Anolis sagrei: one gene and its partner. The protein of the gene in region 1 interacts with the protein of each later gene in a pairwise test. Links are inferred from orthologs where the notes say so. Each region holds a gene or a part of one and is shown in the gene's direction. Other genes may lie near its edges. The genes, in order: CREB1 and TSSK4.

Region 1 (11,110 bases):
TAAATAAGTTGTTTCAGACTTAGGTTGACCTGTGCGAGGGTTGGGTAAATGACCTTAGAGGGCCGTATCCGGCCCCTGGGCCTTAGTTTGAGAACCCCTGCAATACACCACCTCCAAGGATGTTCCCCATGCGTCGCGCTGATGTTTTACCATTCTGTGAGAGGCTTTCATTTATCGATACGTGAAAGGTTTAGGGTGGGAAAAAGAAATTATTTCTACTTGAGCCTAGTGTGAATGCTGCACCTGCATACCTGGATTACCTTTGAATAACCTTGCACCTTAAAAGCCTGGCTTCTACTAGTCAGCAGGAAACCTTTGCTGCAAAGAGTTCCCTAGCCAGGGGTCCTCAAACTTTTTAAACAGGGGGCCAGGTCACAGTCCCTCAAAGTGTTGGAGAGCCGGATTATAATTTGAAAAACACATGAATTCCTATGCACACTGCATATATCTTATTGTTGTGCAAAAATACTTTAAAACAGTACAATAATTAAAACTGAGAACAATTTTAACAAATATAAAATTATTAGTATTTAAATGGGAAGAGGGGACCTGCTTTTGGCTGATGAGATAGGATTGTTGTGTGCTTTCAATTCATTTCAACCTTAGGTTGACTCTGAGTGAGGGCCAGGTAAATGACCTTGGAAGACCGTATTTGGTCCCCGGGCCTTAGTTTGAGGACCCCTATCCCTAGCCCAGATTGTTTCATGTCTGCAAATCCTGTTTTCTGAGGGCCACAGCAACGCGTGGCCGGGTACAGCTAGTATGTGAAATAAATAAATAAAATAAATTATCAAAGCAGATAATCCACGTTATGAACTGGATTATCATTATCTACCAGACAGATAACCTGGATTTTAGATGGCACTGCGGATGGGGCCTTCCTCAAAGCTATTTCCGAGCCCCCTTTTCTTCTCCCTCCATTCTTGTCTCCGTTTCCTTTTACCCCGTGTAGGGAGGGAGAGAAGGGTGCCACATTGATAACTTGATCTCGGGGATATGTATGGGATGATCCTAAAACTCCTCATCGTGCAATCTAGGCCGCCAGCCCCCAACGGTGATGGTGGATTCCTCCATTCCTCGGAGGCCGCTCCAAACACCTTCGCGCGCCGGCCGCCATTTTGTCTCTTTCTTTCCTTCCTTCGTTCCTTGCGCTGTCAGCCTTCGGGCATTTCCGCGGAGGCCGTTCGGGCTTTCCCGCTCTTTGAAAGGAGGGAGGGATGGGGCACGAGCCAAGAGGAGGGGGGGTGGCGAGAGCGCGCGAGACAGAAGAGAAGGGAGGGGGAGAGAGTGCGCGAGACAAGAGGGGAGGGAGCAGTCCTACAGCGCGCGCGGGGGGGGGGGGGGGGGTTAAGGGTTCAATTTCCCCCCCCAACCCCAAAATGTTTCAGATTTTTAAAAAATCTGGTTTCCTCCTGATTTTTAGGTGGTTAACTAATTCGAAAGTAAACCAGCTTAAAAAAAAAAACCTGAAACATTTCGGGATTGGGGGGGGCTTGAACCCTTTAATTTTAAAACAGTTACATTTGGCCCGGCCATACGTTTTTAAATCCTTGTAAATCCTGTTTATTAGTTATTGTTTATGTGTGATTTATATTAATTGTATTGTATTTGTTGTTTTTGTTTATTGATGTACTGTTGGGCTTGGCCTCATGTAACCCGCTCTGAGTCCCTTGGGGAGATGGTGGCAGGGTATAAATAAAGTATTATTATTATTATTATTACTAGCTGTCCCCTGCCATGAGTTGCTGTAGCCCAGTCTGATGGTCATCATCATCATCATTTAATAATTTATTAATCACGCTCCATCCGAGAATGCTCCAGACGATTTACAGCTAAATTACAAAAGATAAATACATACATACAAACATTAAAAATCAACAGAGATCGAATGCTCTAGTAAAAAGCCAGGTCTTAAGTGCGAGAGTGATCTGGAAAATAAAAGGAATGAGAAAGTGTTGGTTTCTAATATATGTCATTTCTTTAGGCTTGTGGGTAAACAGTATTTCTTGCTGTTTCTTTGCCAGTGTTGATGTGGAGAGTGTCTGGTTTGCCCACCCTGGAACATGCAACATATCTTTGTCCTTCTTTAAGGATTCCTTTCAAATCTATGATACTATATTTCTCTCTCTGTGTGTGAATCCTATCTATCTATGTATATAGTAACCTATGGATGTGAGAGCTGGACCTTAGGGAAGGCTGAGCGAAGGAAGATCGATGCTTTTGAGCTGTGGTGTTGGAGGAAAGTGCTGAGAGTGCCTTGGACTGCGAGAAGATCCAACCAGTCCATCCTCCAGGAAATAAAGCCCGACTGCTCACTGGAGGGAAGGAGACTAGAGGCCAAGATGAAGTACTTTGGCTCAGCCTTCGCTCAGCCTTCCCTAACGTCCAGCTCTCACATCCGTAGGTTACTACAGGGAATACCATGGCTTTGACTAGGCGGATCTTTGTTGCCAGTGTGATGTCTCTACTCTTTACTATTTTATCGAGACTGGACATTGCTCTCCTCCCAAGAAGTAAGCGTCTTCTGATTTCCTGGCCACAGTCTGCATCTGCAGTAATCTTTGCACCTAGAAATACAAAGTCTGTCACGGCCTCCACGTTTTCTCCCTCTATTTTCCAGTTGTCAATCATTAAGTTTATATTTGTTAAAATAGTTCATTTTAATTATTGTATTGTTTTAAATGTTTTTTGCACTTGTTGTTGTTATTCGTTCAGTCGTCTCCGACTCTTCGTGACCTCATGGACCAGCCCACGCCAGAGCTCCCTGTCGGCCGTTACCACCCCCAGCTCCCTCAAGGTCAGTCCGGTCACTCCAAGGATGCCATCCATCCATCTTGCCCTTGGTCGGCCCCTCTTCCTTTTGCCTTCCACTTTCCCCAGCATAATTGTCTTCTCTAGGCTTTCCTGTCTCCTCATGATGTGGCCAAAGTACTTCAACTTTGTCTCTAGTATCTTTCCCTCCAGTGAGCAGTCGGGCTTTATTTCCTGGAGGATGGACTGGTTGGATCTTCTCGCAGTCCAAGGCACTCTCAGCACTTTCCTCCAGCACCACAGCTCAAAAGCATCGATCTTCCTTCGCTCAGCCTTCCCTAAGGTCCAGCTCTCACATCCATAGGTTACTACAGGGAATACCATGGCTTTGACTAGGCGGATCTTTGTTGCCAGTCTGATGTCTCTACTCTTTACTATTTTATCGAGACTGGACATTGCTCTCCTCCCAAGAAGTAAGCGTCTTCTGATTTCCTGGCCACAGTCTGCATCTGCAGTAATCTTTGCACCTAGAAATACAAAGTCTGTCACGGCCTCCACGGTTTCTCCCTCTATTTTCCAGTTGTCAATCATTCTTGTTGCCATAATCTTGGTTTTTTTGACGTTTAGCTGCAACCCGGCTTTTGCGCTTTCTTCTTTCACCTTGATTAGGAGGCTCCTCAGCTCCTCCTCGCTTTCGGCCATCAGAGTGGTGTCATCTGCATATCTGAGGTTGTTAATGTTTCTTCTAGCAATTTTCACCCCAGCTTTGCATTCATCCAGCCCCGCACATCGCATGATGTGTTCTGCATACAAGTTAAAAAGGTTGGGTGAGAGGATGCAGCCTTGCCGTACGCCTTTCCCAATCTTGAACCAGTCTGTTGTTCCGTGGTCAGTTCTTACTGTTGCTACTTGGTCCTTGTACAGATTCCTCAGGAGAGAGACAAGGTGGCTTGGGATGCCCATCCCACTAAGAACTTGCCACAGTTTATTATGATCCACACAGTCAAAGGCTTTAGAATAGTCAATGAAGCAGAAGTAGATGTTTTTCTGAAACTCCCTGCCTTTCTCCATTATCCAGCGGATATTGGCAATCTGGTCTCTCGTTCCTCTGCCTTTTCTAAACCCAGCTTGAACATCTGGCAACTCTCGCTCCATGTATTGCTGGAGTCTTCCTTGCAGAATCTTGAGCATTACCTTACTGGCATGAGAAATAAGGGCCACTGTACGGAAGTTTGAGCAGTCTTTCGCATTTCCCTTTTTTGGTATGGGGATATAAGTTGATTTTTTCCAGTCTGATGGCCATTCTTGTGTTTTCCATATTTGCTGGCAAATGGCATGCATCACCTTGACAGCATCATCTTTTAAGATTTTAAACAGTTCAGCTGGGATCCCGTCGTCTCCTGCTGCCTTGTTGTTAGCAATGCTTCTTAAGGCCCATTCAACCTCACTCCTCAGGATGTCTGGTTCTAATTCATTCACCACACCGTCAAAACTATAACAACATCCAATTTGCCCTGGCTCATAGATCTTACATTCCAGGTTCCTATGGTGTGTTGATCTTTAGAGCATCGGATTCGTCGTTCACCTCCAGTACCGTCGGCCGCTAGCCTTCCTTTCGGCTTTGAGCTAGCTGCGTCATCACATCTGGGGCTAGTTGAACTTATCCTCTGCTCCTCCCCAGTAGCATTTTGGCCATCTTCCGACCTGGGAGTCCCATCTTCCAATGGCATACCGACATATCTCTGGTTGTACTGGTCCATTTAGTTTTCTTGGCAAGGATACTGGAGTGGTTTGCCATTGCCTTCCCCAGGGATCACGCTTGGTCTGACCTCTCTGCCACAACCGTCCCGTCTTGGGTGTCCCTTCACGGTTTCGCTCATGACATCATTGAGGTGCTCAAGCTCCAGCGCCCCGACAAGGCGGTGATCCTTTGCTGGAGGTTTTTTGCACTACAAATAAGATATATGCAGTGTCTATAGGAATTGGTTCATTTTTTTTTTCAAATTATAATCTGGCCCTCCAACAGTTTGAGGGAATGTAACCTGGCCCAGTGGGTTAAAGCACTGAGCTGCTGAGCTTGTTGATTGAAAGGTCACAGGTTCAATTCCGCTGTCAGCCCTAGCTTCTGCCAACCTAGCAGTTCGAAAACATGCAAATGTGAGTAGATCAATAGGTACCGCTCCGGCGGGAAGGTAACGGCGGTCCATGCGGTCATGCCGGCCACATGACCTTGGAGGTGTCTACGGACAACGCTGGCTCTTCAGCTTAGAAATGGAGATGAGCACCACATCCCAGAGTCAGACATGACTGGACTTATTGTCAGGGGACTACCTTTACCTTTACCTTTACCTAACCTGGCCCTCTGTTTAAAAAGTTTGAGGACCCCTGCCTTAAACCCCCTCCCCCTCCTCTGGATCCAGGCCTGGGAGAGAGCGCGAGGCAGAAGAGAAGGGGGGAAAGCGCGCGCGAGGCAGAAGAGAAGGGGGGGGGGGGAATGGCGGGACAGGAATGGAGTAATGGGGAGAGAGAGCGCAGGGTAGAAGACAAGGGAGGGGAGACAGCGAGCGCGAGGCAGAAGGGAGGGGGAAGGTTCGCGAGACAGAAGAGAAGGGAGGGGGGAAATGGAGCGCGAGGCAAGAGGGAGGGGGGAGAGCACGCGAGGCAGAAGAGTAGGGAGGGGGGAGAGAAGAGCGCGAGGGAGGGGGAGCGCGCGAGGCAGAAGAGAAGGGGGGGAAGGAGCGCGAGGCAAGAGGGAGGGGGGAGAGTGCGCTAGGCAGTAGAGTAGGGAGGGGGGAGCGCGCGAGGCAGAAGGGAAGGGAGGGGGAGGAGAGCGAAGGCATGCTCGGCGGCGGCGGCGCTTGCTCCCTCCCTCCCTCCCTCCCTCCCTGGCCTCCTCCTCCTCTTCTCCCCCCCTCCCTTGCCTTCCCCTCCGTCGGCCGCTCTGCTTGCCTGCCTGCCTGCCTTGCCTTGCCTTGGCTGCCTGGCCTTGCTGTCGCCGGCGCTGGGAGAGCCGGAGCGAGCGAGCGAGCGAGCGGGCGCGTGGTGTGTGTGTCCTGTGAGTGACGCGGCGGAGGTGTAGTTTGACGCGGTGTGTTACGTGGGGGAGAGAATAAAACTGCGGCGAGAGCCTCGGCGCGAACGAAAGCAGTGACGGAGCAGCCTCTGGCCGGTAAGAGGAGAAGGAGAAAGCCCAGCGAGCACGCAGGAAGGAAGGAAAGAAAGAAAGGCAGGCCGAGGAGACAAAGGCCGACCAGAGAGAGAGAGAGGAAGGAGGAGGAAAACAGGGAGGGGCGGCGGCCGTTGAGGGAAGGAAGGAGGCAAAGAGAGAGAGAGCCAAGCTTCGGCCTAACGCGCTCTTCCCCTCCCTTCCCCTCAGTTCTGTGGCGGTTTTAATTTTTAAAATGGAGCCTCTCCTTCCTCCTGCCCTGGCCCGGCGCTGCTGCTGGAGGAGGAACAAAGAGTAATGGCGGATGGAAGCGGCCGGGCCAGGCAGAGACGAGGCGAGCCAAGCCTGGCGGGCGGGCGGACCGAGGAGGAGGATGGCGGCGGCCAAGCGGGGGGAAGAAACTAGGCCACGGCGCCCTTGGGAGAGGGAGAGGGCCTTCCCGCGAGGGTCTTCCCTCTGTCCCTCTCTCATCACGCAGTTTGTAACATAAATTGGTCATAAACACACGCTTCAGAGGTATAAGCAACCTCTTAAGAAGGGGGGGGGGGGGAATCCGCCGATCCTTTTTCTCCATAAGGTGCCCCCCCCTTCTTTAGGGCAGTAATATGGATCTAGTGGATCCAACACACACACATGCCTCACTCTTCTCCAAGCCAGAAGTTAGATGCCCCACCCCAGCCCTCTCTTCTCTTTTCCCGCCCAATGCTGAGCAGGGACTTCCCTGGCAGCCTTACACACGGAGTCCTAGGAGGAAAGGGAAAGGGGGTGATCATCACTATGTGGGGTCATCAGAGAAGCCTCTCACAAGGGTGGCAAAACGTCCAGGCGGCCTTGCAGACAGCACATTCTCTCACACCAGAAGCGACTTGCAGTTTCTCAAGTTGCTCCTGACATGAGAAACAAAACTCCCAATACTCGCTTCTGCTGTGCTTGGAGCAGACCCTCGATTCTGTCCCACGGGTCCAGAGGTTCCTCTTTTCATAGTCAAAGCATCCATTTGGCAGGAGTCCCCGTCCACTGTACCAGCAAAACAGTTTTAAAAAAACATGGCTCCAATTTGAAAAACCTCCGAAAGTTCCTTTTGAAATAAAAATAATTTTGGATCTACACTATTCTTGAACATCTTGTTTTCCTCACAGTTCTGTGTGGTTATGATGAAAGCTCTGGTGCTGGAAATGGTTGTATTTGTTTCAAACTTAATCCTCACTGCTCTGGTTTTTATCCCTCCCCCCTTTGATCTGTACTTTGAGGGGTTGTGCTTAGGCGAAAAGTTGTATTAAATGAGGCACTGCTAGTATTACTGACACTTTTGTTTTATTTGTAGAATCTATTCACCTCAGTTCAGTTTACATGGCACTCAGTAAAGTAATATAAGGGAGCAGACATGTAGTGGGGGGGGGGGGACTTTAGGGGCTTCAGCCCCCCCCCCCCCCCCAAATTCTCATGGTGGTTCGCGAGAAGGCCTTACTGGTTCATTATTTAAACTGTTATGTTTATTCATATCATGATCTGATCACCATACTCAATATATCCCATATGCATGGGGGTATTGGGGTAACGATACAAAAGCTTTGCTAGGGTAGACCCTCTTTCACTCAGACTCAGCCCCCCCCCCCCCCCCCCCCAAAATCGAAATCCTGGCTACGGGCCTGTAAGGGAGATAACTTAAAACAATGTACTAAATTAGGGGGGCTAGGAAGAGTGCAGGCAAGAAAAGTTAACACATATATAAGTTTAGCTTCAGTTATGAGTGGAGTCGTTTTGAATTAACTTTCCTACTTCCCATGCCCTGTTTCTTCCCTCTCTAACCAAGGCAAATAAAATATGTTATTTCCATTTTATAGGAAATATTTTCATGTACATTTCCCTATTTCTGAAGTTATTAGGATGAAATTTAGTATTTAACAGCCTCACTAAACCCCAGAGGTCTGCAGGAGGCAGAAACTGGATTTTAAATGGATTTATTCTCTAGTGCAGGGGTCCTCAAACTTTTTAAACAAAGGGCCAGGTCACAGTCCCTCAAACAGTTGGAGGGCCGGATTATAATTTGAAAAAAAAAACATGAATGAATTCCTATGCACACTGCACATATCTTATTTGTAGTGCAAAATCCACTTAAAAAACAATACAATAATTAAAATGAAGAACAATTTAGCAAATGTAAACTTATTAGTATTTCAATGGGAAGTGTGGGCCTATTTTTGGCTGATGAGCTAGGATTGTTGTTATTGTTTTGTTCTTTCAAGTCGTTTCAGACTTAAGTTGACCCTAAGCGAGGGCCTCATCTGGCCCCCGGGCCTTAGTTGAGGATCCCTGCTTTAGTGTGATGAAGTATCTGTTCAAATCTTGTGTAGGTCCAAGCCTGTGAGAGAATGTCTTTTCCCTCACCCAAAAGTCATGTTTTAGAACAGGCATGGCCATACTTTGGTCCTCCATGTGTTTTGGACTTCAACTTGCACAATTCCTAACAGCCAGGTATTGTGGGAGTTGAAGTCCAAGACTCTTGGAGGGCCAAAGTCTGCCCATGCCTGTTTTAGAATCTACCAAGGACGTTTTATGCTCGCAGGCCTCTTTGGGCTGGAGGAGCTACTCTACCACTCAAGGAGTTTTCCACTTCCTCTTAACCCAGTGGTTCTCAACCTGTGGGTTCCCAGATGTTTTGGCCTTCAACTCCCAGAAATCCTTACAGCTGGTAAAGTGGCTGGGATTTCTGGGAGTTGTAGGCCAAAACACCTGGGGACCTACAGGTTGAGAACTACTGTCTTAACCTCACTCTGTTTTTTAGCTAGGGTTGGGATTTCAGTCATTGTAAAACAAAAACCTGGATTTTTAGCTACATTGGATGTTTTAATAATTTTTATGTTGCAAAATAGGATACAAAGTAAAGGGCTAATTTTAGCAACAGTATCCCAGTATATTAAGTTTCAAGTAAGTTACTTGGTGCTGATTAATACACACTTCATAACAACATAAGGGAGGTTTTACCATGCTTACAACACAGTTCATTTACTTACTGTTTTAGACAACCTATTTGGCCATCATCGAAAAGTGAATTTCACCATATAGTTAGTACTCTCAATCTAAGACTCCTTTAAAGTTTGCATCTCCTGAAGTCCTAGTTTTCAGCCAAACATTGATCTTGATTGTTTTCCCTAATATGCTTTAATGCAGGGGTCCTCAAACTTTGTAAACAGAGGGCCAGGTTACAGTCCCTCAAACTGTTGGAGGGCCGGATTATAATTTGAAAAAAACATGAACGAATTCCTATGCACACTGCACATATCCTATTTGTAGTGCAAATAACACTTTAAAACATTACAATAATTAAAATGAAGAACAATTTTAACAGATATAAACTTATTAGTATTTAAATGGGAAGTGTGGGCCTGCTTTTGGCTGATGAGATAGAATTGTTGTGGTTGTGTGCTTTCAAGTCATTTCAGACTTAGGTTAACCCTGAGCGAGGGCCGGGTAAATGACCTTGGAAGGCCGTATACAGCCCTCGGGCCTTAGTTTTGGGGGCCCTGCTTTAATGTATAGGCAGTCATATTTGAAGGGTCACAGATAGGGTTTTTATGATATTTATTGTTGTTGTTCCTGTATTGCTTCCATTTCACAGAGAAATTTTAGTGTTCTCACATATCCTTGTTTCACCAGACTGTGGCCTAAATCCACCCAACTAGGAAAAGTATCGTGAACTAGGTAGTGGAACATAAATGCCATTGATTTGGTTGGTCTAGTTGGGGGTGGCAATTGGATTTATACCTGTATTTATAAATGCAATAATTTCATACTGTTCTAGACAGGGTTTGTTACTAAATTCTAACATAACTTTGTGGCTCTTCAAATATTGCATACTTTTCAGGAACGAGGGCTTCATGGACTAGAGCCCTCCCTACTACACATGCTGGATTCTGTGGCCTGAATGTAATAGTGCTCATGCTTTTATAGAAAGTGTTATAATGTATAAATTGGACACTATATTTGTAGACTTTTTAAAAACATAATCTACAGCCCCCTTTGAAAATCTGTCCCTAAGTATTGAGAAATTTTTAGAACTTAATAAATATAATGAAGAAAGCTGCAGTCAATTGGGGATTTGGCAATATGGACCACCTTTCACAAATAAGCTATTATTGGAATTCTGCAAATGCCAATCAAGTGCTAAAAAAACACAGCCTAGGTATAATCCTCTGTTAGAAAATATATAAAGTGTGATTTAAAAAATTAACAAAAAAACCTTCAAGCGTCAATGTTATTGTCACTGACATATTTTTTAAAATACATTTTTATTTTTGCTTATTTCACATTTATAATAATTATATGATTTTCCTTCCAAAGGAAACTTCTCCAGTAATTCATACCATTGGCTTAGATTTGTGAAAGGTAGTTTTCAGGAGGGAAAAGCTGTGTCCTGTGCTTTAAAGCCATGCCATTCAGCGTGATGGTCCATGAAATGGCGATTCCAAAGCCAACTGCTGCAAGACTCTGGAAGACATCCAATATATATTTTAAAAGCCAAAACAAAACCCAATGGGCACAAATATACCAGTACATTGGGAGAAAAGAACCTGTTGGTTCTCCACATCAGATAGCTTAAGAAGCACTGTCGAAATTACTTTATAGACTTAGGACAGTGTTTCTCAACCTTCCTAATACAGCGACCTCTTAATACAGTTTCTCATGTTGTGGTGACCCCCAATCAAAATTATTTTCATTTCTACTTCATAACTGTAGTTATGCTACACTTATGAGTCATAATGTAATAATCTGATATGCAAGATGATTTTCATTCACTGAACCAAATTTGGCACAAATGCCCCGATTGGAATACTGGTGGGGTTGGGGGGGTTGATTTTGTAATTTGGGAGTTGTAGTTACTGAGATTTATAGTTCAGCTACAATCAAAGAGCATTCTGAACTCCACCAATGATGGAATTGAACTAAACTTGGCACACAGAACTCCCATGACCAACAGAAAATACTGAAAGAGTTTGGTGGGCATTGACCTTGAGTTTTCGAATTGCAGTCCACCTACATCCAGACTCAAACAATGATGGATCTGAACCAAACTTGGCACAAATACTCAATATGCCCAAATGTGTACCCTTGGGGAGTTGGGGGAAAATAGAGCTTGACATTTGGGAGTTGTAGTTACTGGGATTGATAGTTCGCCTAGAATCAAAGAGAATT
Region 2 (11,889 bases), on another chromosome or scaffold:
GCCATCCAGTCCAACCCCATTCTGTCATGCAGGAATACACAATCCAAGCACTCTCGACAGATGGCCATTCCGTCTCTGTTTAACAGTCTCTAGAGAAGGAAAATCCAACAAACTCACAGGCAGTGAATATTCAGCTATAGTCGAAAGGGATCTCGAAAGGCCATCCAGTCCAACCACATTCTGTCATGCAGAAATACACAAATAAAGCACTCTCGACAGATGGCTATTCAGTCCCCACTGAAAAGTTTTGGAGATGTATATTTCACTGCACTCCCTAGAAGTCTACATTCCATTAGCGTTAGAAGGGATCCCTAAAGGCCATCCAATCCAACCCCCTTCTACCATGCAAGAATACACGATCAAAGCAGACTCGACAGATGGCCATTCAGTCTCTGTTTAACAGCCTGTCGTTTGAATCCAATGGAAGTTAAAGTGGTATCAAATTGCATTAATTTTGTAGTCTAGAGGCCAAAAATGTGGTTATTGATTAAAAATTAGCCACAGCTGCTGTTCACAGATCCGGGGAACACAGCAGAGTGGAGGGTGAGCCCTGGCACCACAATGGCTGGGAGGAAAAAAGGGAGGTAATTTAATAAACACTTTCTTCTAGAGAATCCTGGCAATTTGCAGCAACAAACCTGTCAAGCCGTGCAAATTATAGCAAGCTGTGGCTTTTCTTGCTGAGCTGGAGATGCGCACCCAGCTCTTTCCTTTCGCCTGGAGCTGGGCTCTCTAAAATTGGGAGGAAAATAGTATCTTTGTCTCCTCCATGATGAAATTGACTGGCAAGGCACCCATTCAACTTGTGTGTATTTTGCAGGCCCAATATAAACCGCAGGCAAAAAGAGCACTAAAATAGTAGCTGAACATCTGTAGGTGGAGGTAAACATTACTATTTACTAGAAAGGGTGGCTTCATATGTGCAAATATAAAATCTGTTTATATTAGAAACCACACTTTCCTAACACACACACATTTATTGACCTCAAGAAGAGGCAGATAAAAATATATATTATTATTATAATTACTAATATAACTATTATTATTATTATTATTATTATTATTATTGGAAGCACTCTGCACATGAGCAGAGGCACAGTTTCTCATTAGCACTGCCTTCTTGATTCATATGCCCACCTCGAGCACCATTAATATATACAATATATTAATATATAGAAATAATAACATTGTACTAAAATAATATGAATATAGCATATATAATATTAACAATGTTGTAATATATTATTATTATATTACCCTCCACTCTGCTGTGTTCTCTGTGGCTATTCTTAATCAATAACCACATTTTTGGCCTCTAGTTTGCAAAATTAATGCAATTTGACACCACTTTAACTTCCATTGGATTCAAACTACAGCAAAATAAGTTCCACCTAATCTTTAGTAAACCCTTCCTGACAGTAAGACCTATCTGATAGTGGAATACACTGTCACTTGGGAGTCCAGCAGAGCCTACATTTTGTGAGGCTTTTAAACAGAGACTGGTCATCTATTGGGAGTGGTTTAATTGTATATTCCTGCATGGCAGAATGGAGTTGGACTGGATGACCTTTAGGGATCCCTTCTAACTCTAGTGGAATATAGACTACCAAGGAGTATGGTGGAATATACATCTCCAGAGGCTTTTCAGCAGGGACTGAATAGCCATCTGTCGAGAGTGCTTGGATTGTGTATCCCGCATGACAGAAAGGGGTTGGACTGGATGGACTTTAGGGATCCCTCCTAAGTCTCGTGGAATATAGACTTCCGGGGAGTGCAGTGGAATATACATCTCTAACACTTTTTAGCAGGGACTGAATAGCCATCGGTCGAGAGTGCTTGGATTGTGTATTCCTGCATGACAGAATGGGACTGGACTGGATGACCTTTCGAGATCCCTTTTGACTTTAGTTGAATATTGACTGCCTGGGAATTTGTTGGATTTTCCTTCTCTAGAGACTGTTAAACAGAGACTGAATGGCCATCTATCAGGAGTGCTTCGATTGTGTATTGCTGCAGGACAGAATGGGTTTGGACTGGATGGCCTTTAGGGATCCCTTCTAATGCTAATGGAATATAGACTACCAGGGAGTGCAGAGAATTATACTTCTCCCGAGGCTTTTCAGCAGTGACTGGATAGCCATCTGTCAGGAGTGCTTGGATTGTGCATTCCTGCATGATAGAATGGGGTTGGACTGGATGGCCTTTCGAGCTCCTTTTCAACTTCAGTTGAATATTGACTGCCTGTGAGTTTGTTGGAGTTTCCTTCTCTAGAGGCTGTTAAACAGAGACTGAATGGCTATCTGTCGAGACTGCTTTGATCGTGTATTCCTGCATGGTAAAAGGGGGTTGGACTGGATGGCCCTTGGGGTCTCTTCCAACCCTTTAACCATACACTTCACCTTTCCTCCAAAAGAGGCTTATAATTTTGTCAAAGGGCATCACAGGAACAGAAGACCCTTGTTTGTTTGAGATCGTGTCATCGTGTCAGGGGCAACCAGACCATTGTATTACATTTCTAACAGAACAAAACAAACAAACAGATAAAAAAAACCCACAAAGTTTGCAAGCTTGGTAGTAGATTAAATGTCCTTTGACCAGTAGCTGGCCACTTGGAGTGCCTCTGATGTTGTTGCAAGAAGGTCCTCCATGGTGCATGTGGCAGGGCTCAGGTTGCATTGCAGCAGATGGTCAGTGGTTTGCTCCTCTCCGCACTCGCATGTTGTGGATTCCACTTTGTAGCCCCATTTCTTAAGGTTGGCTCTGCATCTCGTGGTGCCAGAGCGCAGTCTGTTCAGCGCCTTCCAAGTCGCCCAGTCTTCTGTGTGCCCAGGGGGGAGTCTCTCATTTGGTATCAGCCATTGGTTGAGGTTCTGGGTTTGAGCCTGCCGCTTTTGGACTCTCGCTTGCTGAGGTGTTCCAGCGAGTGTCTCTGTAGATCTTAGAAAACTATTTCTTGATTTAAGTCATTGACATGCTGGCTGATACCCAAACAAGGGTGAGCTGGAGATGTCACTGCCTTGGTCCTTTCACTATTGAAATTACACTGTTTAGCTGGTATTGCACCACCTGACATCCACCAGGAAGTAGCCGCCAATAGTTTGTTTGAGATGAGAAAATAGTATTACTTAAATCCAATGAGTAGGATTTGGAACCAAGAGAGTTTGGAGCAAGCAGAACCCATGTTGCATCAGGCAACATCCTTTGTTGGAAGACAATCCCTCAGTGCCATCCATGGAAGCCTCCCTATGGTAACTGGAACCCCATCGGCCTATTGACATGGCTGGAATGCCAAGGGCATCTTCAGAACCCAGGCAGAAAAGAAGGTCGGACCCCTTCCTAGTGGTTGGGGTCCGGTTGAGCAGATCCCATTTCTTCCTTTGGAGCTGTTAATTGGCAGGATGATGGTTTAGATTCCACCAAGTTGGGTGAGACAGGTGGATCTCCAACTAGATCCCTCCCATCACCCAAAAGACTTATCGGAGAGATCTCCTTGGACTCGGATACACAGTTGGAAAAACCTGATTACCTTCTCCTCCCCTGGTTGTCCTTCTCAGAACATCCCACCAAGGGTCCTTTCCCTATCACAAAAGTATTCTTGAGGATTTGGGGCTGAGCACCAAAACGGAACCATGGTGGAACATTCGGCCTCCACGCCGTACGTCTCGGTGATGGATCAATACGGCTACCAAATTGGCAAAGTGATTGGGCACGGCTCTTACGGCACCGTCTATGAGGCCTATTTCGCGAAGCAGAAGACCATGGTGGCCATCAAGATCATCTCCAAGAAAAAGGCCTCTGAGGATTACCTCTCCAAATTCCTCCCAAGGGAAATACAGGTGGTTTACCTTTACGTGTTGGGTGAGGTTGGATGAAGCATGGGCAAACTTTGGCCCTTTGGGTGTTTTGGACTTCAACTCCCACAATTCCTAACAGCAAGTAGACTGATATACAATAACCCTGTAAGGTAGACTCAAAGAGTAGGTTTTAGAAACTCTCCAAATGACATTGGCACTTGGTTCAACAAGTTTGAATGTAATCATATTTAATAATATGGGGACATTGCTTTTGATTATATTTTCATATTAAGTCCTGCTTTGTGGCTGGGCCTTGTTAATATTCTGGTTTAGTTTGTTACCGTGATAACTATCTAGCCAGGAAGATGAAATTAAATAATTGATTTAAATATTTATATTCCACCTTTTGTCCTGCGCATTTTACATTCATATCCTACTTTTCTACTTACGAAGAGTACAATGGGTAGTTAATACAATTCATTTACCATTTCTATATTGCCAGTACTTAAATCCACTCTGGGATTTAGTCTGAAGTTTACAGAATAAGGTCCTGGATAATAAATTGCCAAAATGGATTAAGTACCTTGGATAGCTTATTAAAACACAGATTCACACACCTGCCACTGACATGTCATTATTTTGGACTGCAAGACCCAGAATACAATACGCAATTGTTTTGGACTACAATACCCAGAATCTCCATCCAGGATTGGATGGGGATTCTGGAGCTTTTGTCATGATGAAATATGAGGTATGGTTTGAATGGAATTGTATGAAAGATGAATGAATGAGAGCTAATAATTTTGAAGACACCATTCCTGGAAAACCACTGCCTGCTTGCTGAACTGTAATCAAAAGTTGCTGAACTGCTGACATTGATAAAAACTGTAATTGTTTTGGGGAAAACAATGTGTTTACATTATCAGAGACAATTATTAAAGAAATGTTTACAAGGAAGTCTACACAAGACTGCTTATGTTTATTAACACCAATTACGAAGAGTCAACATCTGTCCAGGAACTGATGATATCAACATATTTCAGACTGGAAGAACATCTATCAATGATTTACAATTTATTTATTTATTTATTTATTTACTGCACTTGTAGACCGCCGTTCTCAGCCCTAGGGCGACTCACGGCGGTGTACAACATATAAAAAACAATTTACACTAAAGGCAATAAAGGCAATAGCACAAACAACAGTAACAACATCACTATCAATAATACAATTACACTAAATCATTTGCGACGTCTCATCATAGAATCACAATCCAATCTCGTTTTCCATATTCCGTTCCAATCATCATTGCCAATTGTTGTAGCACTTAGTCAAACGCCTTCTCAAACAACCACGTTTTTAGTCTCTTGCGGAATGTCATAAGGGAGGGCGCCTGTCTGATGTCTACAGGGAGGGTGTTCCACAGCCGGGGGGCCACCACCGAGAAGGCCCTATCCCTCGTCCCCACCAGGCGTGCCTGTGAGGCAGGCGGGATCGAGAGAAGGGCCTCCCCAGACGATCTCAAAGTCCTCGTGGGCTCATAGGCCGAGATGCGGTCAGACAGGTAATTTTGGAACGACATACCCTATTTCCCTGAAAATAAGACATCCCCTAAAAATAAGACCTAGTAGAGGTTTTGCCGAATTGCTAAAAATAAGGCCTCCCCACAAAGTAAGACCGAGTTAAGTTTTTGTTTGGAACCATGCCTGCCAAATAGAACATCAAAGCATGCATTGAATAAATCTTGCTTTGTGTCCATAAATATCGGGATCAGTAAATGTACCATAGATTGCTGTACATGGAAATAATGGCAGCAACAAGAAATTCTTGATTGATGAAACCTAGGATCATGTTGGCTTTTTTGGCTTGATAGGATTCATAGTTTGTCTGATTATGCTGATTTGTGATGACAACTACTGTACAGTATGTAATAAATGTTAATGTTTTGTTCAACAATACATATTGTTGAATACGCCTGGCAGGAACGAGAGACAGGGCCTTCTCAGTGGTGGCCCCTCGGCTGTGGAACACCCTTCCTACAGATATTAGATCGGCCCCCTCCCTATTGGCATTTCGGAGGAAAGTGAAGACCTGGTTGTTCGAGCAGACATTTGATTAGGCAGTGTAATGAATATAGGAACACGGAATAACGGATGATGAGATTGGATCTTGATTCTACTGATGAGACGCGAATGAGTTGTTATATTGATGCTTAATTGTTTATTATGCTACTGTTTTAACTGTCCCTTCACTGTTTTTATGATGTTTTGCATTGAATTTTTGCTGTTGTTAACCGCTTTGAGTCGTCTAAGGGCTGAGAAAAGCGGTATATAAATGAAGTAAGCAAATAAATAAATAAATATGAATTCTTCTTCATGGAAAAATAAGACATCTCCTGAAAATAAGACCTAGCACATCTTTGGGAGCAAAAATTAATATAAGACACTATCTTATTTTGGGGGAAACAGGGTACAACATCAGCAAGGAAATATTGCTATGTAAGAGACCTTATTACAATCCAAAAATTGTGACAGACAGCAGTGCTGTTCACCTGCCATGCTGTATGGAAAGAGATGGTGTATGCCTCCTTGTCTCAAGAGAAGAGAAAGGAGTGTGATTTTGGAGTTTTGGATTTTGTGCAGGGAGTCCGGTTCTGCTTCATGGAAAACGGGGATCTGATCCTTGCCATTGTGCTTAGGGGAAGGATGCATTTTGGCGTTTAGGAGTTTTGGAAATATGCATTGACAGATTTTCAGGAAAGCAAAGTATAGTCCAATAAATGTTCTTCTCCAAGGAGTTAGAAAGGATATGGTAATATTTGAATGCAGGGGAATGAATTAATGTGCAAGTGAAGGCTGAGTGAAAATGTAATTCCCCTCTGTTTGTTTGATAGCCAATGTAACTATAGGTTGTTTATGAATCCAATGTAGTTACATAGAATCTGTAAGTTTGTATAGCTATATAAATTCTGATACCCTTTCTCTTACTGGAATGTATTGATATTATGGCATTGAATTGTTGCCCGTGTTAGCAGCCCTGAGCGCGCGTCCCCCCCCCCCCCCCCCACTGATAGGGCAGTGCAGATTCAAATAATTCAGATTATATTGTGGATTATCTGCCTTGATATTCTGGGTTACAGGGCTGTATGGACAGGCCCTTTGAGGCAAGGAAAGTCTAAAACAAGGACTATATACAGCCCATGGGGACCACTATAGTGGCTGTTAAAGAGGGGTAGAAATGATGTAAATAAACAAATAAACAAATAAATAAATAAAATTTCAATAAAAAGAACCTATGTTTTAAAGGTATTGAAAAGTTATTCATAACACTTGTAGTCCGAAAAGCAAACATGAAATGGAAATTGGGACTGCGAAAGACAGAAAGGGACATAGCATAGGTTTAACCCTGAATCCGTTTCTCCTTTCCAGGTGATGAAGAGTCTGCGCCACAAATACGTGATCAGTTTCTACCAAGCCATCGAGACCACCTCCCGCCATTATATCATCATGGAGCTGGCACCCTGCGGGGATGTCTTGGAGTGGATCCAGAAGTCGGGCGCTTGCTCCGAGGCCCTGGCGGGGAAGTGGTTCTCCCAGCTGGCCCTGGGCATTGCCTATCTTCATGGCAAGGGCATCGTGCACCGGTCAGCAAAGGGGCAACTTGGGCTCTGGTTGGGTGGCAAAGTCATGAGTCCTGGCTGGAATGCTAGTGTTGGAAAATACCATAATGGCTGTCCTGTCCAACCTCTTGCCATTCAAGAAGATACAATGCAAGCCCTCCTGACAGTTTATTTAACATTTAGTTAAATAAGCAGAAGTGAGATGTTTGAATGTGTTGAGATTAATTTCACAATTCAGCAGCAGATCAGTTGCACAACTTCAGCGCTTTCCAGTAGCTTCTTCCTGCACAGTATTTTCAGTCAACTGCTCCCACAGCCTGCAGTCACTCTGGAACCTTTTACAGACACTTGAGCACATGCCCGGCCATTGTCAGTTTTACCGTTGTCTTTCCCCCAGTCTAGATGATATTACAAACTTACCACAGCATACAGTTATATCTTGTCTTAGCAGACAGGTTCTTTTAATCAATTACATATAGCCTTCGACGACAACATCACAGCACAAGGAGAGGAATACACACTGTACATGACTTCCTTATATACAATTCTATACAATTTCACATAGCAATCTCTGATTGGTTCCCAACTCATTAACTTAACTCAGACCCAGGATTACATCATTCACAATCACCTGGACTAGGCCAGAACACATTCCCCAAATGATTCCCTATATACAGTTAATGCATGACTCAGCATTTCCAATAGCCCATTAGCAGTGCATGACTCAGCTATATTACATTACAATACATTGTAAAACCTGACAGGATGGTGTCTTGCTGCCTGGAAGAAAAGGGTCAGTTTGGATGGCCCTTGAGATGTCTTCCAACCCTATATTACACTATGATTCTTTGAGATCTCCAGCCAGATCAGTCCTGTTTCCAAGTTCTGTCGTTGCAGTGAATCTCACTCTTTGATTCTCGCAGGGACCTCAAGCTGGAGAACCTCCTCCTGGATAAGCGGGAGAACATAAAGATCTCAGACTTTGGCTTCTCCAAGATTGTGACCCCGCAGACGCAGCCGCCCCCGACTCCTTCCTACCGCATGATGAGCTGCTTCTCCCACCTCAGCCAGACCTACTGCGGCAGCTTCGCCTACGCCTGCCCGGAGATCCTCCTGGGGCTGCCCTACAACCCCTTCCTCTCCGACATCTGGAGCATGGGGGTCATCCTCTACACCTTGGTGGTGGCCCACCTGCCCTTCGATGACACCAACCTCAAGAAGTTGCTCCGCGAGACCCAGAAGGAGGTCAACTTCCCAAGCCACCTCCAGATCAACGAGGAGATCAAGGTGAGGATGGCCCACCTGTAGACCTTACAACAGGCATGGGCAAACTTTGCCCCTCTAGGTGTTTCGGACTTCAACTCCCACAAATTGTGGGAGTTGGTCCAAAACACCTGGAGGTCCCAAGTTTGCTCAGGCCTGCTCTGAGTATATTGTCTGAAGAGTTTGGGGAACTTTGGATCCAAACATGCAGCTTTTTCTACCTGATATCCTGACTGAGGGATTTAACATCTACATGAAACCGCTGGGAGATATTCCTAATTGCCATACAATATTTAATGCATTTTTAGAAATACTAGTTAGACTCACAGTAATAAAAAAATCATCTTCAGGCTATGTGTATATATGAAACATGAATTAATTTCACGTTTAGACCTGAATCCTATCTTCAAGATTTCTTTTTTCTCTGTGTATTTATCTATGCAAATCCAGGTATTGCAAAATATTTCTGGTTTCATGCATTTCAGATAACAGATACTCAACCTGGATTAAGACTGTAACAACATCTAAAACAAGTCTGATCTTGGAGTGTTGAGAATGGGAGTGTCAAGTTTAGTAATGTTTAAGGCAGGCATGGGTACATTTTCTAACTTGGGGACCACATGATAACATTCCCTACTAGAATGACTGGCTTCCTGGTGATGGAAGGAAGGAAGGGGAGGAGGGAGGAAAGAGAGAAGGAAGGAAGGAGGAAAGGGAGGAAGGGAATGATGGAAGGAAAGAGAGAAGGAAGAAAGGAGGAAAGGGAAGAAGAAAGGAAGGAAGGAAAGACAAAAAGGAAGGAAGCAAGGATGAAAGGGTGGAAGGGAAGGATGGATGGATGGAAGGAAGGGAAGGATGGAAGGAAAGAGAGAAGGAAGGAAAGAGGAAAGGGAGAGGGAAGAAGGGAGGAAAGAGGGAAGAAAGGAAAGGCAAAAGAGAAAGAAGGATGAAAGGGAGGAAGATAAGAATGGAAGGAAAGGAATGAGGAGGAAAAGAGAGAAGGAAGGAAGGACAAAAGGGAGGAAGGGAAGGGTGGAAGGAGAAAGAGGGAGAGAAGGAAGGAGGGAGAAAAGAGGGAAAGAAGGAAAGACAAAAGTGAAGGTAGGAAGGATGAAAAGGTGGAAGGGAAGGATGGAAGGAAGGAAAGGAAGGAGGAAGGAAAGAACGCAGGGAGGGAGGAAGATAGATAAGGATGGTAGGAAGGGAAGGATAAAGGAAAGAGAGAAGGAAAGGCAAAATGGAAGGAAGAAAGGAGAAAGAGGGAGAGAGGAAGGAAGGAAGGAAGGAAGGCAGGAAGGAAGGCAGGAAGGAAGGAAGGAAGGAAGGAAGGAAGGAAGGAAGGAAGGAAGGGGAAGGGAGGGAGGGAGGGAGGAAAGGAGAACAAAGGGGTGGAAGGGAAGGATGGAAGGAGAAAGAGGGAGGGAAGGGAGGCAAGGAGGAAGGAAAAAGAGAAGAAAGGAAAGACAAAAGATAGGGAAGGAGAGAAGGACGAAAGGGTGGAAGGGAAGAAGTAAGGGAAGAAGGACGAAGGAGTAGAAGGGAATGGAGGGAGAAAGAGGGAAGGGGGGAAGCGAGATGTAAAGACAAAAGGGAAGGAAGGAGAAAGGGAGAGAGAGAAGAAAGGAAGAATGAAAGAGTGGAAGGGAAGGAAGGAGGGAGGTAGGAAGAGGAAGGGGAGAGAAGGAAGGAAGGAAGGAAGGAAGGAAGGAAGGAAGGAAGGAAGGAAGGAAGGAAGGAAGGAAGGAAGGAGAGGAAGGAAGGAAAAATAGGATTGTGTGAGAGAGGGAGGCCTGAGAAAAGACCCCAATGGCCCGCTTCCGGCCCCTGGACCTGGGTTTTCCCATATATGGTTCAAGGCCTCATAAATTATCTTTTTTTAGGATTCATCTGCAATGCAGAATGAATGTAGTTTTAAACCACGTTCCCTGCCAATGCGATTGAATGCTTGGAGTTGTAGTGTGGCAAAGGACCAGCACACTTCAACAAAGAAGACCTTGCAAAAGTACAGCTCCCAGGGATTCCATCGCATTGAGTCATGGTGAACCTTCTCTGGATACCTTCCAGCTTGTCCATCTACTTCTCGAATTGCTTTGCCCAGGACTGGTCAGATTATTATTCCAGGGGAAGGTTTGACCAAAACAGAACGGAATAGGGTTATGACCTTTCTTTTGACCAACACTCCTAGTGATGCATCCTGGAATTGTGTTGGCTTTCCTGAGGTGCTGCATCCTTTTGATGGTGTCTGTCTTGTCTTTCCGGCAATCTCGTAGGAGCTGGTCCATCGCATCCTCCGCCCGGCTTCGAAGCGCCTCAACATCTTGGAAGTCCTCAAGGTGCAGTGGGTCATCAAATTCCTTGCTGAGAAGCCCACCACGGAGCTCAAGGCCCTGGAAGCCATCTGCGGACCCCGGGCCACTGACTCCTTGAAGAACGCCAACCTCAGCACCAAATCCCGCTCCCTGACTTTCGCGCCGGACAAAAAAAAGGCCGCCAGCCGTACGCGCAGCACTGGGCAGATCAAGGGCTCCAAAAACACAGAGAAAAGCAGCTAAGGAGGGGTGCATTAAAAACAAAAGACTCTTTAAGGCAAAGTTGTTGGCGGTCCATGTTTTTCTGGGCTTAGTGCTTACCTTCAACGGCCAGGGAGTGTGCAAACCAGAAACAAATACAGCCAAACACTGGGGAAACTTGATAAATGTAACATAGAGCAGGGGCCCTTTATCAGGAATGAGCAGGAACAAGGTTTGGGATATCACCTTTTCATGGGATCATAGTTGGAAAATACTCCCAAGTCCAACCCCATATTGCCATGCAGGATCACACAATTGAAGCACTCCCGACAGGTGGCCTTCCAGCCTCTGCTTCAAAACATCTAGAGAAGACTTGATTTTTGTGGATGGATGTCATCGACATTGTACAATCGGTAAGCTGGCTGCACCCTTTGTCAGAGATACTAAAGACCTTGTAAAACGACAGCTCCCATGATTCTATAGCATTGACACCACTTTAAGTGCTGTGACTGAATGATATGGACAGTTTTACATGTTCAGACTAAAACCCAGAATGGATTCACCACTCTGATATACAAAAATGTGACTGTCTGCTAAACTAGTTTATTTATACTAGAACAGTGGTTCTCAACCTGGAATCCCCAGATGTTAGTGGCCTACAACTCCCAGAAATCCCAGCCAGTTTACCAGCTGTTAGGATTTC

Evidence for each region.
Region 2: the proteins of CREB1 (region 1) and TSSK4 interact in binary tests that used the Homo sapiens proteins (3 or more experiments, as listed by UniProt). The link is inferred for Anolis sagrei from reciprocal best matches to the Homo sapiens genes CREB1 and TSSK4.

What each region holds. Positions count from the first base shown.
Region 1 is NC_090021.1:168,928,650-168,939,759, forward strand, and holds the start of CREB1 (cyclic AMP-responsive element-binding protein 1), read left to right. Parts: upstream 1-5,651; 5' UTR 5,652-5,920; intron 5,921-11,110.
Region 2 is NC_090026.1:7,933,755-7,945,643, reverse strand, and holds TSSK4 (testis-specific serine/threonine-protein kinase 4), read left to right. Parts: upstream 1-7,222; 5' UTR 7,223-7,225; coding exon 7,226-7,437; intron 7,438-8,336; coding exon 8,337-8,700; intron 8,701-10,853; coding exon of another isoform or gene 10,854-10,946; coding exon 10,947-11,228; 3' UTR 11,229-11,271; downstream 11,272-11,889. Other genes in the region: TM9SF1 (transmembrane 9 superfamily member 1), read right to left, coding at 8,452-8,676, 10,854-11,224. UniProt on the Homo sapiens protein: Serine/threonine kinase which is involved in male germ cell development and in mature sperm function. May be involved in the Cre/Creb signaling pathway. Phosphorylates CREB1 on 'Ser-133' in vitro and can stimulate Cre/Creb pathway in cells.